Xenopus tropicalis: one gene and its partner. The protein of the gene in region 2 interacts with the protein of the main gene of each other region in a pairwise test. Links are inferred from orthologs where the notes say so. Each region holds a gene or a part of one and is shown on either strand. Other genes may lie near its edges.

The links. The genes of interacting proteins can lie anywhere in the genome.
Region 1: the proteins of yae1 (region 2) and lto1 interact in binary tests that used the Homo sapiens proteins (3 or more experiments, as listed by UniProt). The link is inferred for Xenopus tropicalis from reciprocal best matches to the Homo sapiens genes YAE1 and LTO1.

What each region holds. Positions count from the first base shown.
Region 1 is NC_030680.2:12,877,677-12,882,944, reverse strand, and holds the start of lto1 (protein LTO1 homolog), read right to left. Parts: upstream 3,144-5,268; 5' UTR 3,117-3,143; coding exon 3,067-3,116; intron 2,958-3,066; coding exon 2,852-2,957; intron 1,281-2,851; coding exon 1,210-1,280; intron 432-1,209; coding exon 314-431; intron 1-313. UniProt on the Homo sapiens protein: The complex LTO1:YAE1 functions as a target specific adapter that probably recruits apo-ABCE1 to the cytosolic iron-sulfur protein assembly (CIA) complex machinery. May be required for biogenesis of the large ribosomal subunit and initiation of translation.
Region 2 is NC_030682.2:64,476,517-64,481,599, reverse strand, and holds the start of yae1 (protein YAE1 homolog), read right to left. Parts: upstream 3,494-5,083; 5' UTR 3,357-3,493; coding exon 3,228-3,356; intron 1,871-3,227; coding exon 1,749-1,870; intron 653-1,748; coding exon 211-652; 3' UTR 1-210. UniProt on the Homo sapiens protein: The complex LTO1:YAE1 functions as a target specific adapter that probably recruits apo-ABCE1 to the cytosolic iron-sulfur protein assembly (CIA) complex machinery. May be required for biogenesis of the large ribosomal subunit and initiation of translation.

The DNA.
Region 1 (5,268 bases), on a different chromosome or scaffold from region 2:
CTGCTCATTTCTGACGTCACTTCTGGTTTTCAGTAACGGTTCTTCCCATTAAATGGCAGTCAGCGACTCGCGGACAAGGCAGTTGTGGGTTGGGTAGCAGGCCCAAACAGGTCAAAATGCGTATTGTGGGTTTGGGTCCAAGCAAGACTCTGTTGTGCACTGAGTAAGCAATTTGATGACCTTAAACCCCACCCCTTCTCAATATGTTTTCAGTTTTCCAGCATAAATCATAAAATTACATTATGCTGAATAGGCCCTTCCCTTTTGTATTATAAAATAATTTAATAGAAAACATGCATTGTGCAACACTAACCTGTTTTACCTTCCCACGGATATTTGCCATGTCCTCTTGAAGATTTGGATTAGTTGGATCATCTGAATGAAAATTCCGAATCATGGCAATCAGTGAATCAAGGGCTTTTATTTTTCGCCTGCATAGAATTAAAAAAAATAACATCAATTTCCATTTATCGTAATGATTTACATCGTAACACTAGGCTAAAACACTTCATTGAAACTTAACAAGCAAAGCAATTTTTAGCAGTTTGGATCACTTGGTGCTTACAAGTCCAACAAAGAATTGTAGCAGTTATGACTGCATTCACTATTGACCTAATCTTATGAGGCCATCTTTTGAGTGTCAGTGGCGCTGCACATGCTCTGTGTGCTCTGTGTTGCTGTTGAGATGCTAAACTTACAGACCTTCTGAAATCTTAAAAGGAGGTTACCTCTGTCACAGAAGCTAATGCAACAGGGCTGATAATTCATGAACTCAGATGTAGAATACACTGGTTTCCAAGCTGCCATGTAAACTGAATCAGCTTGTAATGTAAAACAGAGATTTTTGACTGGCTTCTGTGGGCTTGAGCTGGCACAGAAACCCCAAAAAACAGCATTTCTAGCCTAGTTCTTTGTTTCTTTGGTCTCCTTTAAAAGGAAAGCACTATACATAACCTTAAGGCCTCAATGACAAAATGTTTGCATATTTTACCGTTGGATAAAATTGTGTTTTATTCATAACGAAAAACCATCTATTCTACTTATTTAACTACACAAGTCTTTTGTGACTGGATTTTCAGGAAAAGGTTTAACATGACATCCCTGAGGTCCTATTTTCAAAATAAGCTATATTGCTAGTGTAAGCAGGAACCTAATGTTCAGATTGATTGGATCAGTGGTGGTTACTTATTAAAGCACAGGAAAACAAACCTTTGACGATCATCAGAAGCAGGTACCAATAGAAGCCTCCATGTTGAAGCGAAACCCAGGTAACAGCCAAGCTGCGTCCAAAGAGGAGAAAAAGTGTAATTAAATGGGGCAATGGTTATTATCATTATTTATATGAGTTTTTTGTGGAGCAATCGCCTTTGCATTAAAGGAGAAGGAAAGTCAAAATCTATTAAGCACGCTATTAAATAGTACTACTATTGCTGTGTAAAAACGCCATATTCCTGGCTTGCCTAATGAAAGATTTACAGAGATACACATACTAGAACCTACATACTTGTTTCAGTGAACGGCGCCCGCCATCTTGTCTGTATGGGCTGAAAAGCACAAGCCAGCCCCCCCTCCGCTCCCCGCTCCCGCCACAAAGCCTCCGCCGCTCCCCGCTCCCGCCACAAAGCCTCCGCCGCTCCCCGCTCCCGCCACAAAGCCTCCGCCGCTCCCCGCTCCCGCCACAAAGCCTCCGCCGCTCCTCACTCCCGCCACAAAGCCTCCGCCGCTCCCCACTCCCGCCACAAAGCCTCCGCCGCTCCCCACTCCCGCCACAAAGCCTCCGCCGCTCCCCGCCACAAAGCCTCTGCCGCTCCCCACTCCCGCCACAAAGCCTCCGCCGCTCCCCACCACAAAGCCCCCGCCGCTCCCCACTCCCGCCACAAAGCCTCCGCCGCTCCCCGCCACAAAGCCTCTGCCGCTCCCCACTCCCGCCACAAAGCCTCCGCCGCTCCCCACTCCCGCCACAAAGCCTCCGCCGCTCCCCACTCCCGCCACAAAGCCTCCGCCGCTCCCCACTCCCGCCACAAAGCCTCCGCCGCTCCCCACTCCCGCCACAAAGCCTCCGCCGCTCCCCGCCACAAAGCCTCTGCCGCTCCCCACTCCCGCCACAAAGCCTCCGCCGCTCCCCACCACAAAGCCCCCGCCGCTCCCCACTCCCGCCACAAAGCCTCCGCCGCTCCCCGCCACAAAGCCTCTGCCGCTCCCCACTCCCGCCACAAAGCCTCCGCCCCTCCCCACTCCCGCCACAAAGCCTCCGCCGCTCCCGCCACAAAGCCCCCGCCGCTCCCGCCACAAAGCCCCCGCTGCTCCCGCCACAAAGCCCCCGCCGCTCCCGCCACAAAGCCCCCGCCGCTCCCGCCACAAAGCCCCCGCCGCTCCCGCCACAAAGCCTCCGCCTCTCCCGCCACAAAGCTTCCGCCGCTCCCACCACAAACCCCCCAAGCTCCACAAACCCTCTGCCGCCCCGCTCCCCCCATCTGCTTGTCACAGAGTTCGCCGACGCTGCGTCGCCATGGCAACCGGCCGCTCCTGCTGTGTGCGCATGCGTCGCCTGCATTAACAAGCCGCCAAGTCTTGAGGGAGTGATGCATTATGGGAATCTTCTCTACCCAGCTCAGCGTTTTTTTTTCTCTGTATGGGGAGACTTAAGGGCACTATTGAGAGAACTGAAGGTATGCCTGCAGCTTGGGATTAACTCTTTATTAGCCTTTCCTTCTCCTTTAATACATGGCATCCTTTAACCAGTGTCACTACTTATTTTTTAGTAGCACCGATTTACACTATGAATGGGGGTATCCTGTGAATCACACACACACACACATATATATATTTAATAGTATATAATTATACACACCTCCGATCCCATTCTTGCTCCATAGACAGCTCCATACTGCTTGCCCTCTGACTCTCCCGCACTGTTTCCTTCCGCCAACCCTTCCTCATACCCCTCCCCGCGGTACCTGCAAAGGAACCCAAGTCACTCGCACAACCACATAATGATACATTTCAAACTTGAACTTCCTCTGCCTGCAGCTGCACATCGGTAAGTAAACATAACACAGGCCGCACCTCTGCTCGCACATAATAATGTCATCAAACAGGTCGTCTGTCCCTTCCATTACTGCTCTCTGTCCCTCTCACGCCGCACACACAACCCTAGCTCAGCGAAATCAGCCTCTGAAAGAAATTCCGGAATTACGTCACACCACATCCGCCTCCCACAAGCAAATAGGAAGAGCGCTGGCCTAGCCGCTGCGTGAGAGCACCAAGATGGCGCCTGTAAAGCGCACTTCCTGTTTCGCAGGTTGCTATGGCTACTGCTTGTGACGCAGCATCGTCTTAGAACGCGGGAAAAGCGTGATAATAAGTAATAATAAGTAATAATGAGTAACTACAAGACCTGAGGTGCGAATGGGAGATTAGCTCTGGGGTAATGCACTAACAAGGTTTTAATGTAACTCTACCATTGCCCTGTCATTTGTGTTAGATAATATACAGGGATTATGAATAGAAAACAGGGTGGGTGCATAGTTGGAAAGAGTTTCTAAGTTTAAATGGGAATTCCCTGCTTTCAGCTTGTGGGACCGCAATGTTGGTGAGGCCATAGTGACGCACAGTGTCTGTGGTGTTTTTGCGGGCAGAGAGAAGTGGGCGGTATTCCAGGTGTGACTGTGGCCTTATGGTGGGATTCAGAGGGCATTTACACAGGGTTGGACTGGGCCGTCGGGACCCTGTTGCCATTCCCCCAGCCGCGGGTGTCCTCCCTTAACATGTTTCACTTACGGTGGCCATACGGGTTAACAGGGTCAGACTGGGGTGTCGGGACACTGGGAAAAATCACGGTGGGCCCCGGCGGCCCAGACCCGACCCCCCTGCCAGACTGCTCCTCCCCTGACGCATTAAATGTACGAGCTCAGGGGAGGACGTCAGGTGGAGGGCCCTGCAAGGGGGGTTAGGGGGGCACCTGTAGGGCCCCTGGGGTGGGAGTGGGGTGGGCCCTTTACCCCCCAGTCCGACAGGTTAAAACCTACGGGTGGGCGATATCGGGTGAATTTAGGCTAATTCAGTTGTTTGGCGACAATTGAATTAGAACGCCGGTCCCCGATCCAACTAAATTTTTTAACCTACCCGATCAATATCTGCCCGATTTCAGGCCAGATATCGGTCGGGCAGGTCTGTCGTTTGTGCCCCTACACGGGCCGATAAGCTGCCGAGTTGGTCTATGGGACCGATATTGGCAGCTACAATTGGCCCGTGTATGGCCACCTTTACACGCGCTCAGGGAAGGACGTCGGACGGGGGCCCCTGCGGGGGACGTGGCCAGTGGGGGCACCTTGGGGGGTGCAGGACCTCTGGGGCAGCAGCTCTGGTGGGCCCTGAACCCCCCCAGTCCAACTCTGCATTTGGAACCAGGACACCCACAGCCAAAGCCCCAGTATTGGACTGGGACAGCAGTGGCCCTTTGGGGCTGCAATGGGAAGGGCCTGGGGTCCGGTTTTTAGATGGGCTGCCCAGTTCATAGCTGCCTGCTTGGTTTTTAGACATCTGGAAACGGGGTAGGATTGGCGTGAAATATGGCCAATCACATCTCGCTACATCATGTCCCGCCCCTATATATCATTGACACCCCTCCCGATGTCCCATCTATATCTAAAGAGAAAGGTGGCAACCCCCTCACAACCTCCTGGGCTCCATCTTAACATTTGCTTCCCCTCATGAGCATGCCCATGCCGTATGGGTGGGGCCCACTTGGTTTTCTCCCGGTGTCCCTCTGGCTCATCAGACCCTGCAAAGCCCTGTGCCAGCTGGAGGAACGCATGCAGGAATATGTTATCTTGGAATTATTAATTGTCACATAGCGTGATGTGGCCTTGAAAAATGCCATGAAGTGCGGGGGGCCACGGGGTCAGGCATAAAATGCTTCTTTATTGCTGTTGCTGCCATTCCAATCGTTATTTGTGCTTGGTGTTTGGGGGCGTGGCTTCGAGGTGTTTGGTCAAATGTTTTGTCTATACCGAAAAGGTGGTATGTACTTAACCTGGGGAACAAATATTGCCCCTACATCAAATTAATTTTGTGCAGAGTCCATATGTGTTTGATACAAGAACTGAAAATGTCTCCTATAGAAAGATACAAGACTTATGCATTCTTCTTTCTTTCCCCAACGCTGACATCTAGTGGTGAGGCTTAGTGGCTGCACTTTCCATTTCAAACCCTTTAAAGATCATTTCTTTGGATTTAAAGAAGAAAGCTGTTCAACAGAACAAATAT
Region 2 (5,083 bases):
GTGTTATTTTTAACCAATATAAAATCATTAAATATCAATGTCCCTTTATCTAAATCAAACTGTATTTAAAAGAGTCTAACCGACTCTAAAAACATAATTTCTATGACCGATAGTTCTGAACCTAACAAGTATAAATGTGTCATTTGTGTAACTTTGGTTACATTGTAACATGTTTAAAAAGAAACAAAAAATATGGTGCACTGGCTGTGGCTAGCACTTTAATTGAATAAGAGGTGACTCTGTGTTATTGAGTGTTTGAATATAGTAAAGAAGTTCTGCTGAAATATCAAGTTGTTCAGCCACCAAAAGTGTCTCCTTAAAAATCTTACAAAGTTCTTCTTTTGTTGAATCGCTGATATAGTTGGTATTCATGCAACGGAATGTTGATGATCCATTAGAGTCCTGACTTGTGCAACAGTTCCTGGAACCTGCGCAGGAGCCTGGCTCATTCAGTTCACATCTATGCTCATGACTGATTAGAGCCATGTCCTCCACACAGTGCAACAAATCAGATGGTTGTGCACCTTTATAAAAGGAAGATAGATCTTTTACAATTTGTTCCTCACACTGATCTAATGAAGTCAGAAGCTCATGTAGTTTTCCAGAAGCTGCATCTTTTGTCTTGTGAAGTTGGCACCATGCCAGGAGTGCACTGCAACAAGCACACAAAGTACATTATATAAACGACAATGATAACATAGATACATTTTCTAGAAGCACTGGCATTTCCTGATGATACAACAAGTTTTATTGTCAGCTGACCCTAGTTAAACTTTTGACATCAATTTTCTGCTGATTGTCCCTATTGTACTCATTCTTCTATCACGTTTGCAGTAAGTAAAACATCAACATTGACAATTTAAGATTTAAAATATTTTACAAATTTGTGAAGAGCTAGCAGTAGGTTGCAAAATACTTAATTAAAAGAGTGACTGAAGTTTATCGAAGCACAAGTCACATGGCTGTCAATTATCAAAATTAGAGAAAAAAAAAAAATGTTGCTCTTCCTGTAAGGGTGAAGACACACGGAGCTACTAGTAGCGGCTACTTGTTGCAGCTACTAAAACAGACAATGCTGATCATTTACTGATAACTGTCTCTACATGTGTTTTAGCAGAGGCAATTCTCTATTTTCTATGGCAGGGGATTTTCTGGTGTTTAGTAGCCGTGACAAGAAACCCTTTAAAGGGGAAAAAGCCCCCCTTTTTTCACATGAGATAATTCAGTTTTGTGCTTATATAACAAAAGTGTAGAAACTTCTGAACTGCCAAAAATATATACAATTCTTAAAAATATGTAATGTTAAATCTTTCAGCGCTATTTAAGTCTTTATTAACTGCCAATATAATGAATTTTGTAATATTGCTACCTCAGTTCTTGAAATTGTACAGTCAAAGACATACAAACCTTACATTCAGAACAGAAACAGGAAAGCGATCAGAAGCCCCAATTGCCTTTTCCCATCTCCTTCCTAAGCAAAGCAACAGCACAATATTTGTTTTTTTTTTTTATTAAAAAGGTAGCTCTCTTTGACTGTACAACTGCAGGAAATAACCAGAAGGCAGTGATGTTACAAACTTTATTATTTTGGCAGTTAATAAAAACTTAAATAGCTCTAAAACTGAAAAATTAATACTGCTTATAAAAGCACCCTGAGCATTTTGACACATTAAACATTTGTAATTCCCGTGACTGAAAAGCTGTCGGAAATAACTGGAGAAGTGAAGATAAAATACAATACAACTTACCTTAAGATCCCTTTAAGCTCTCCGTAATGCTTTAGCAGGTTCACTCCAACTTTATATCCAAAATTAAACCCTGTTTGTAGAGAATTTTCTTTCCCAGCCTCTATTCCATCAACGTAGCCCTCCTACGAATACAAGAATAGAAATTCAAACTAAACAAGCATTCCACAAAATTAAAGCAGTTAAAATAGTTTTCATCTGTAACCTAAAATTAATTTAAACTTAAAACTCCATGCCTACTGCATCCTACATATCCAACAGACAATATACTGGTGGATACGGTACATTTTTTTCCCTGCCATTTTAACCCTTTCACTGCCAAGCACGTAGGCTGTATGTGCTGGCAGTAAAAGGCTCTATCTGCCAAGCACATACACTTAAATATAGATATTTAGAAGCCTATATTGTTATAGAAGTGGCATTACACAAAAATTCTAGCATATTGTGAAAGCTTAGATTGCCCTGAAAAAAATATATTGTTTTCCTGGGTAAGCTAAAAGTCCACCCTGAGAAAAGGCCTCTAAAGTGAAAGAGCGCAAAATGTTCAAAAACTGTCTGGCAATAAACGTTCTGTTGTGACCAAATCTGCTTGCAGTGAAAGGGTTAATGTGTAGGTGGGTAGGACATGGGACTAATTAGTGCAGTGATCCCCAACAAGTGCCTTGTGAGCAACACGTTGCTCCCCAAGGCCTCAAACCAGGTAGTGATTTTTGAATTCCTGACTTGGGGGCAAGTTTTGGTTGAGTAAAAACAAGATTTACTACCAAATAAAGTCTCCTGTAAGCTGATAGTGTGCATAGAGGCTGCCTAATAGCCAATTACAGCCCTTATTTGGCACCTTCATGAACTTTTATGATGCTTGTGTTGCTCTCCAAGTCTTTTTACATTTGACTGTGGCTCACAAAAAGATCCCCGAATTAGTGTAACCTGGTCAACCAGTAACTTCATAATGAGTTACTTGTGTAACGACTGATAAAGTTCTGAAATGGGAGTGATTATTCTACTTTCCCCGAATCACAGCTTGGGTGCAGGTAAGAAAGTTGTGTATAAAGCAATGACAAGGCAGAGAAATGAGGTAGGTTAGTCTTGAATTAGGGCAAACTCCACTGACCTTCAATGAACGGACTAACTTTATTAGCACATTACTCTTGATTATAATTAATAAAGTGTGCTATATTGAACTACTACTGACTAGCTATTTGGGCCACACAGAAAGAACATGTGTGTGTTTAGAAGAAATGCCGAATTCCTGCGACAAACATTGAAACCCCGATGCGAGTGCTCCATAACACAGCAGTGCCCTGAGGTAAAACAGAGCCCCGCTTTTACCAACCTCCTTGTAATTCCCAGAAAACCTGCTTCTCAATGTATGCCTTGGGGTAGGTAACCAGGAGCACATGAAATCACTTACCAGTAAAATAGGGCAATGCCTAGAAAGGGGCCCCCAAACTCGCTATGTTAGTCTAACTATCTCCCGAATACCTTAATTCTCTTCTCCATGGACAGCTGCCAATCTCGCTGCAAAAGGCGCATCTCGTCTCCATCTTCATCAAACACCTCTGCCTCCCCTCCAAGCTGCTGGATTTCCAAAGCGGTGCGTACCCACGCCATTTCACTATCAGGGGCCGGTATCTAGCTCTAGCATGGCATAAACTGGAGGAGAATCCCTGCTCTAACGCAGAAAAGCTAAATACGCCCCTCGCCCATGACGAAAATATCAGTCTAACTTCACCCCGGAAGTGGAAATTATTTGCAGCCGCATCCTCACCAATAGGGATCGCTATTTTATGCGCCATTTTCTGAAGGCATGTCCATTGCTTATAAGCCAAGATGGTTGTTTGGGTGTAGTAAAAAAAAAAAGCAACGGAAAGCGTATTTCTCTATTTCCTAATGGTGCGTCAGCGCCATCTTGTGTAATATTAGTGCTTGACATGGGGTGAAATAATGTGTGGCGAACTTTATATGGTTCAAATGTTATGTACATAACTAACAGCATGTTGTTTCGTGCTTTTATGATTATATGTAAAGTCTTTTGCGTGCTGAACACAATAATGAGCTCAAGATTATGGCAAAACTCCCCGCCCCAGCTCAGACTTACACTAGCATACCTTCCAACATTTTGAAAATGGAAAGCGGGACAAAAAAAAATGCAGAGCACAGCTACTTTGTGACCACGCCCGTTTTTTTGCGACCACACCCCCTAAATACCACTCCCATTTGGCAGGTTATAGTTTGTTTACATTTCTGGGGGTTTTGTTTTATGTGTTATAGTTTTGCTGAAAAGATGAAATTGTCCTTTAAGTTGCAAGTCTCAGTTCCCCCAAGAGGTCTGTTTAGCTTATTAGTTACACTTGTATCTCAGTGCAGGGGGGGGCTCTTTACCTTTCTGGGTTCTTTGCCAAAAGCCCACTTATTTCATTAAATGTGAGAAACAATGTATCTAAGTGCAATGTATCTAAGTGGGGTCTCTGCCAAAAGCTACTTTTAATTAAATTAGCTTCAGTGCAGAAGATCAAAGGGAAATGAGGGACTTTTCAGTAAGAATCTGGGACTGCAGGCTGAGCTGCCAAAAGAGAGACTGTCCCGCGAAAATCGGGACAGTTGGGAGGTATGCACTAGGGTTGCCACCTTTTCTCGAAAAAGATGCTGGCCTTCCTATATTTTTAGCTATTTTCCCTATTAATAACATTAGCATTAAAGGAGAAGGAAAGGTAAAAACTAAGTAAGCTTTATCAGAAAGGTCTATGTAAATACAGCCATAAGCACTCACAGAAACGCTGCACTGAGTTCTCTGTTAAAAGATACAGGATTTGTTGTCTCTTTGTTTTCCTGTGCCAGACACACGCAGCTCTCTCCTCTCTCCCCTCTCCTGCTCCCTCCTCCCTCAAGAATGCTAAGAACTCCCTTCCCCCCTTAGGAATGTGCGATCTTAGCCAATCAGCAGGAAGATTCCTCATAGTCTTACTAACTGAGCATGTACTCTTGGTCTTGGTGTAGGAGTGAGGCATTATGGGAACTTTCACCAAGCTCAGTGTTTTTTTTCCCTATAAGGCTTCTGATCATCTGAACAGGTGAAATATGGGGAGACTTAAGGGCACTATTGAGAGAACTGAAGGTATGCCTGCAGCTTGAGATTAACTCTTTATTAGCCTTTCCTTCTCCTTTAAGAATAATTTGTACTGGCCAGGCCGGTAAAATACCGGGCAGGTGTCAACCCTAACTTACACGTGTTTACCTAAGAATCAATGAGGTTTTTAATTGAAGTACTTTTTAAATCTAAATGATCTCCCCTTATATCAGCACAAAGGTGATCAATACCCTGAAAGACGGAGCCCACA